Linked DNA regions of Danio rerio. The protein of the gene in region 1 purifies or fractionates together with the protein of each later gene. This does not show direct contact. Links are inferred from orthologs where the notes say so. Each region holds a gene or a part of one and is shown on either strand. Other genes may lie near its edges.

Evidence for each region.
Region 2: the proteins of mphosph6 (region 1) and exosc3 purify together in Homo sapiens (affinity purification with mass spectrometry; 6 studies listed by BioGRID and IntAct, counting the BioPlex papers as one, with this or other methods). This does not show direct contact. The link is inferred for Danio rerio from reciprocal best matches to the Homo sapiens genes MPHOSPH6 and EXOSC3.

What each region holds. Positions count from the first base shown.
Region 1 is NC_133200.1:38,541,772-38,545,981, reverse strand, and holds the start of mphosph6 (M-phase phosphoprotein 6), read left to right. Parts: upstream 1-1,389; 5' UTR 1,390-1,482; coding exon 1,483-1,533; intron 1,534-2,162; coding exon 2,163-2,275; exon of another isoform or gene 2,276-3,513; intron 3,514-4,210. UniProt on the Homo sapiens protein: RNA-binding protein that associates with the RNA exosome complex. Involved in the 3'-processing of the 7S pre-RNA to the mature 5.8S rRNA and play a role in recruiting the RNA exosome complex to pre-rRNA; this function may include C1D.
Region 2 is NC_133189.1:58,545,114-58,549,259, reverse strand, and holds the start of exosc3 (exosome complex component RRP40), read left to right. Parts: upstream 1-1,301; 5' UTR 1,302-1,312; coding exon of another isoform or gene 1,313-1,546; 5' UTR 1,547-2,058; intron 2,059-2,253; 5' UTR 2,254-2,939; coding exon 2,940-3,212; intron 3,213-3,665; coding exon 3,666-3,817; intron 3,818-4,146. Other genes in the region: tcerg1a (transcription elongation regulator 1a), read right to left, coding at 551-597. UniProt on the Homo sapiens protein: Non-catalytic component of the RNA exosome complex which has 3'->5' exoribonuclease activity and participates in a multitude of cellular RNA processing and degradation events.

The DNA of each region.
Region 1 (4,210 bases):
TAAAATGATTATGAGGCGAGTTTCACTGCATTTATTTAATTATTTTGTTGTCAAAATGTACACAAATCTAAATTCTTTAATAACTTACCTCGAGAACCATTGATTTCTTGAATTTATGTAAAGGAAACACTGAAAGAAACACCAAGAAACTTGACTTTACCTTCAATCATTGACTTTTCGGCTTAGTCCTTTTATTAATCAGGGGTCACCACAGCTGAATGAACCGCCAACTTATCAAGCATATATTTTACGCAGTGGATGCCCTTCCAGCTGCAACCCAACACTGGAAAACATTCATACACACTCTTTCACACTTATACACTGCAGCCAATTTAGCTTACCCAATTCCCCAATTCCTGCATGTTTGGAGTGTGGGGTAAACCGGAGCACCCACAGGAAACACACGCCAACACGGGGAGAACATGCAAACTCCACACAGAAACGCCAACTGACCCGGGACTCGAACCAACGACCTTCTTGCTGTGAGGCTACCCAATCATCATATGCTGAGATTCAAATGAACCTTGAAATATTGTTTGATTGTACTCAACTGAGTGTTAGCTAAAACGTTAAATAAAAGTGGTAATTATGACGCTTGAATATACAGTATACACCATATAATTACCACATTTGTATTTCAAGCTAATTAAATTGCACTGCAAAGTGTTTTAAAGCACACAGTTGAATTTAAAAACGTGAAATAAATATAAAACAGTGCTTTAGTTCAGCTAAAGTAATACAAATGTGCTTAAAGGGGCCTTAAAATATATAATATTATAATATATATTAAATTATTTTAGAACAAACATATATTAACCCAATATTTGACTATAATGTGGTGAAAATAACTGTTAGTTACGCTATTACACGACAATAAATATGAATAAAACAACTTAATGCTATAACTAATGTCTGTATTTACAAAAATCCTCAGTAAGAAAATAAATAGCAACTTTTAAGTCGTTTACAGTTGTTATTTGCCAGTAATGAACTGTAACAAGCGAAGTTTGTACACAGTAAAGTAAAAACTCACCTCAGTAATGACTCCTTTCAGTGATTGAAGACGAACTGGCGTGTTTAATTAGGTAAATTTAACCATACAGGAAAGGGTTAATGCGCCACTTCAGACGAAAGCAATAAATTGTCGATACATTCGACAAAATTGTATATAGCAAATCAAATTAAAGTAAACGATACCATATAATACAGACTAACATTAACTTAAACGCTTTATTATGCGATTATACTTCAAACATAAGTAATAAATCTGAAATTATTGTCAGTGGATGTGTGTTGTGCGACTCGTCGAGTCTTGCACATGTTGCTAGAGCGCATGCGCAGAGTTCATGCGGACTGCTATTTATTTTAGCAGCTCGTGCTACGCACAGTAATGCTGCCAGTGTGGAAGACATAACTGTCAGAAAAGCTCGCTTTATCTCTCTTCATTCACTTAAAAACGTGTAGTGTTAGTTCTGATTTGAAATGGCGAACGATGGTGGAGCGAAGCTGTCTAAAAACCTCCTGCGGATGAAGGTAAATAATGTTAGCCGACTCTCCCAGTGTCGGAGGAATATGATGAGCTCGTGATTGGGATCGTACTAAAATGTCCTCGTGTTTGAGGTCGGTTTTGTTTTGATATGAACTGAATGCTGTAGATCACTCGCTGCAGAACACGTGACTGATAGACAACAGTCTGTCTCTGTGTGTGTCTGTTCATCTGTGTCTCTGTCCATTATTTTATCCGCCATATTGTATATCCCATTCGTTCTGTCCATTTTTTTCATCCCTCTGTCTTTATACTTGTCTGTCTTACCATCTGCCTTGTTGTCTTACTTTTCATGTTTGTTTACCTCGTCCTTTGGTCTTTCAATAAATCTCTATTTCCATCTTATTTTTTTTATCTGTCTCTCTTTCTGTCCATCTTTTCTTCCATCTGTCTTGTCATTTGGTCTGTTCTTGTCTTTCTGTCTGCCCATCATTTTTATCTACCTCCATGTGTCATTTTATGTCAACGTCTTTCTTCTGTTTATCTGTCTGTCTATCTTTTAATCTGTTTTTCATCTGTCTGATAATCTGTTTTTGTCTGCGTCCATCTGCTTGTCATTTGGTGTCTGCATCTTTTTTCCATCTGTCTGTCCATCTTCTCATCTGTCTGTCTGTAGTTCATGCAGAGAGGATTGGATGCGGAGGTGAAGAAGCAGCTGGATGAGGAGGAGAAGCGGATCATCAGTGATGAACACTGGTTTCTGGATCTGCCCGAGCTCAAGGCCAAAGAGTGAGACTTCAACAACTGTTTTTTTTACTCTTATCACGGTGCTTGTACACCCAATGAATGAAATAGTGTATGACAACAAATATCTGTGGAAACCCATTTCTGGTGCATAAAAAAGCCTCAATCAAAAACATCAAACCAATACCTAATTATACTAATACTCAATTAAAGGGGCAGTTCACACTGAAATTAAAATTGTCATCATTTACTGCACTTTGATTTATTCCAAATCAAAACAATTTATATTTCTTTCAGCACAAAATAAGATATTTAGAATAAAGCTGAAAACCTGTAACCAGGAAAAACAAATACTATGAAAGTCAATAGTTACCAGTTTGCAACACGCTTTAAAACATTTTCTTTAGTGCAGTTAAAAATTATTTAATCCCAAAGGTTTAGAATATTGACCAAAAGCAAGCAAACAAATAAATAAAATTCAGACATTTCCAATATGTTATATCTAGATCAATGGATCCAAAACCACCAGTAGGTGGCGACAAATACCTGACTGATTCAATAGTGTTTCTTCCCATACTGATAAACTTCCGGTGAACAGTTAATGTGACTTATTTCTAAGGGTGTCACGATCCTAAAGATTCTAAAGGCACGATTCGATTTTCGATTATGAATGATTAATTAATGACCAATTAATTATTTGTAGCCTACCGTTTAAACTACCTGACCTGCATGGTCTTTGTTTTACCCATAAACAAATCATACAGTAAATGAATAAAGGCAAGATGCACACATAATTACCTCCTGTCAATCACTTTTTCTGCGGGACTCGTGAATAGGCAGTGATCTGTGTCATTATAATGGCGTCTGTAAAAAAGACGCACAACCAACAGGAACCAGCCAACAGTGTCTGAGGTGTTCGCTAAAATGACAAAGTACAAGTGAGTGAAAGATTGAAGCAGTCCTCTGACTGCCTGGACCTGCTGTCTCGAGCGCATGGCTGTGTGTGCATCTGTGTCTGTGTGGTCACGTGATGTGCGTTTTCAGAGGTAATGAGGAAGGAGGGCTGCTCAGAAATGCTACACGCCACTGTGGATGTCAAATCGTTGTTGTTCTAAAATGCCATTTAAAAACAAAGACAGTGTAAACAGGGCCTGAGTGTGAACTTTTCGCGAGCGGATTTGCAACGGGGGCGGGCGGAGGATCGCGATGCTGGTGTTGTCTATCGGACGAACCATACGTAATACGTATATAGCAGAGCTTGCAAAACTGTGTTTTTTTTTTTTGTCGACAACACGAACGTTGTCAACATAACTCACTGGAAATCCAAAATGCTTAAACACCGGCGACTTCATTGAAAGAGGAGAGGGTTTAAGCTCTGTCGACGGGTCTCCTGCTTCTGCAGTTTAACAAGCACTTCAACAAGCCTGTTTTTTTCCCGCTTGGCAAGCCAAGCTGACGTGACATCGGGGCGTGGCAGCATCGACGATTCTATTTTGTAATTCGATAATCGAAATTGAGCATAAATTTCGATCGATTTCGATTAAGAATCGAAATCGTGACACCCCTACTTATTTCCATTCCTTTTACAGCATCTATGTTGTACTGCAAATAAAATACAATCAGTTAAATAGACCCAAGCATTTATTTAGTTGATCAAGCGCAAAACGAGATCAAAAGTTGTTTACTCGCACACGTCAGAATCAGCAGGCTAGCGCAGAAGCTCCATTTAACATACTGGGGTAAAATAAATGCTCATATTATAAAGACACGACGGGGGAAATGTAAATTAATGTAGTGTTTCTTGTACAATCTGAGACCCGCTTATATCGTATATCAATTAGGCATTGAAGATGGTTGATTTTTAAAGAAAACAGGCCTTTTTGTAACTGCATACAGTAGGACTGTGCGATAAATCGAATCACAATTTGAAATGTTGCGATTAGCTTATCACAAGAGGCTGCGATATGACATAGATTTGTA
Region 2 (4,146 bases), on another chromosome or scaffold:
GCCTTTTCACAGCACATCACCTGCATTAAAACACCGTAACGCGACACTGTAATCCGTTACTTTCGAGAGAAACTCTCCCCAACACTGTTAATAACAGATACACACACACCATAAACACGCTGAAGACGAGCAGAACACACACTTTAACCCCAGATACTGATGATGGAGGAGTGTCTGCACTGACTCCTGCATTGCTGAAGGTGTTCATTACAGTACACCTGAATCTGAAGCACTGACTCCATCATAAACACACTGTCCAGCTGATCTCACAGCCACATCACACCCTCTACACACTGACAGGGTTATTTCTGAGACTCGGTGTGTGTCCTCAAGCTCTTATTCTCGGCGGAAACTGCGATATAAACACAGTGAGGCGACTGCTGCTGTGCTGCTTTCATTGTCCACCCTCCGACGGGCCAGACGAGGCTAAAACCCACTCAAATCTGCCTTATTGGAGACGAAGCCCAGAGGAGTTTCGGGATAAACTAAGGCGAATGATAACCGGGGGTCTGTGTTTATCTGAGAGGGAAAAATAAAGCGAAAACTGCACCTGTTTGCAGCCAGGCCGATGCCTTCTGCCTCTGTGTGCTCCGCCATAACGGAAATGCCACAAAAGTCCCCATTTCCCGCTCAGCGGTTTTCAAACTTCTGAAACATCGTGACTTTTATTTCCAGTATGAATTATTTAACTTAACTGGTAAAAAATATGCATTTTTCGGTATAGTCCAGTAACTTGGCCAACAGTTTTGGTTACCAGAACGTTCCTATTTAGTTAAAGTTATTTTAGTTATAGTTTTAGTTTAATTAGTCCCAAAAATAACCTAAATTAAAGGGGAAGATTTGTGTTAGCTGGAATGTTAGCACGTTCTCCCTCTCTTTATCCAGTTTTTGATTTATTGATTGTTTTTACGATTTAATTATATTTCGTTTTTAAAAACAATCAAAGACTAAATATTAATAAATGGGGTAGATCTCCTTAAAATAAATCCTGCCATCACTTACTCAACCGTTAACGTTACATGTCCCAAACCGGTTTAATTCCATGTCTCAGTTGAACACAAGTTATTTAAGCGTTGGAAACCAGTAACGTTAACTGTTGACTTCAATAGAATTTATTTTCTTATAATGGATGTCGATGGTTACCGGTGTCGAATGATATTAAGAATGCTTTTAGAAAAATCTTTATAATATATTTCTGTTGTGGACATAAAGGGTTGGAGAGGTTTTAATGAGTTAATTTGTATAGGATAAGAGTCCCCGTGCCGGAAGTGCTCAGACACGTGTGTTTGTGTGTGTTTTCCGCTCCTCCATCATGGACTCCTCAGTGCACACTAGTCTGCTGGAGAGGATAGGAGATGTGGTTCTTCCAGGCGATCTGCTGTTCTCCTTCAGTCCTCCTGAAGCCGGAGACGCGAACCCGAAAGCGGACAGGCTGATCTGCGGCCCGGGGCTGCGGCGGAGCGGAGCGGAGATCCGTGTGTGTAGAGCAGGAGTCCTGAAACACAAACAACCCAACATGTACTGGGTCAACTGTCAGCAGAGACGGGTCAGAACACACACACACACAACATGTGCCAGCACACACTATTGTTCAGAAAATTCACTAACACACACTACAGGGCAGAAAACACACAATAACACACGCTACTAGCCATAACACACAACCTAACACACACTACTAGCCAGAACACACAATACCACACACTACTGGGCAGAAAACACACAATAACACACACTACTAGGCAGAACACACAACCTAACACACACTACTAGCCATAACACACAACCTAACACACACTACTGGACAGAACACACAATAACACACACTACTGGGCAGAAAACACACAATAACACACACTACTAGGCAGAACACACAACCTAACACACACTACTAGCCATAACACACAACCTAACACACACTACTGGACAGAACACACAATAACACACACTACTGGGCAGAAAACACTCAATAACACACAATACTGGGCAGAAAACACTCAATAACACACACTACTGGGCAGAACACACAGTAACACACACTACTGGGCAGAACACACAGTAACACACACTACTGGGCAGAAAACACACAATAACACACGCTACTAGGCAGAACACACAACCTAACACACACTACTGGGCAGAACACACAATAACACACACTACTGGGCAGAAAACACTCAATAACACACACTACTGGGCAGAAAACACACATTACTGGGCAGAAAACACTCAATAACACACACTACTGGGCAGAAAACACACATTACTGGGCAGAAAACACACAATAACACACAATACTGGGCAGAACACACACATTACTGGGCAGAAAACACACGTTAACACAATACTGGGCAGAAAACACACTCTAACACACACTACTGGGCAGAAAACAAACAATAACACACACTACTGGGCAGAAAACACAACCTAGAACACACTACTAGGCAAAACACGCAATCACACACACTACTGGAAAAAAAAAAACACACCACTAGGCAGAAAACCCAACCTAACACACACACTACTAGGCAGAAAACACACAATAACACACACTACTGCCAAATTGGTTGACATCGCCCAACCCTACTAAATAAATATATATATATATGAGTGAGAGAGAGAGAGAGAGAGAGAGAGAGAGAGATAGAGAGCTGTATACTACGTTTGGTCTATATAAATCATTTATTTTAGTCATCTTAAAGGGTCAGTTCACTCAAGAATGAATATTTACTCCCTTTCTCAGCGTATTTTTAAACCTTTACATGTTTCTTTTTTTGTCAAACACAAGAGAAGATACTTTGAAGAATGCAGAAAACCGGTAACCATTGACTTCCATAGTAGGAAAAACAAATGGAAGACAATGGCTCCAGGTTTCCAGCATTTTTCTAAATATCTTATTAGTGTTCTGAACGGGTCTGGAACAAGTAAAGGGTGAATAAATGACAGAGTGTTCATGTTTGGGTGAACTGGCCCTTTTTAACACTGCACAGGTCAGGATGTGTCGTGGTGCTCCTCTATCTGTGCTGAAGGTGTTCCGGACTGACCTCTGCTCTTTCCTGCAGTATGTTCCAGCTAAGGGTGAGAGTGTGATCGGCATCGTGACCGCAAAGTCTGGAGACGTCTTCAAAGTGGACGTTGGAGGAAGTGAGCAGGCGTCTCTGTCCTACCTGGCCTTTGAAGGAGCCACCAAGAGGAACAGACCCAACGTGCAGGTACATGATGACAGAGCCACTCCAGCAGCAACAACTCATGATCAACAGTGAAATGACAGATCGACCCACAGGGAAGCAGCAGCAGTCAGTAATGCAGGATGATCTGCTGTCAGGGCTTCACCGTCAATAACTGTGATTATAATGGAAGTGAATGGAGCAACAACAGACAACATAACCAAGCAGAGTCAGTGTGAACACACACACACACACACACACACACACACACACACACACAGTGTGAACAGTGTGTTGATGAGTTATGAAAACTCTCACAGCATTTCCCCATAATGTGTGTCAGACTCAGATTATTCAGCAGAAATCATCACATTTACTGAAACACAGAGAAAGAGGACAAATGAAGACTCGACATCAACCCAGAGTGGAGGAAAACAACCCAGCAAAGTCGTGTTCGGTGTGTATGAGTCCTCCTAACGCTGCTGTTTGCTCCTCCAGGTTGGAGATCTGGTGTTCGGGCAGTTCACCATCGCCAACAAGGACATGGAGCCGGAGCTGGTGTGTATCGACAGCTGCGGGAGAGCCAACGGGATGGGTGTGTTCGGAGGCGACGGGCTGCTCTTTAAAGTGTCGCTGGGACTCGTGCGCAGGTCTGACCTACAGCTACACACACACACACACACACACACACACACACACACACACACACACACACTCAACAGCACAGGCAGCAGGGAAAATAAGAGTTATAGAAACACACTTGTGAAGCGGACGAGTGTTTAAACACAGTGTCTGGTGTATTAGGACAGGTCAAGCCAGCACACACTACTGATCAGAAAACACACACTAACACACACTACTGATCAGAAAACACACACTACTGATCAGAAAACACACACTACTGATCAGAAAACACACACTAACACACACTACTGATCAGAAAACACACACTAACACACACTACTGATCAGAAAACACA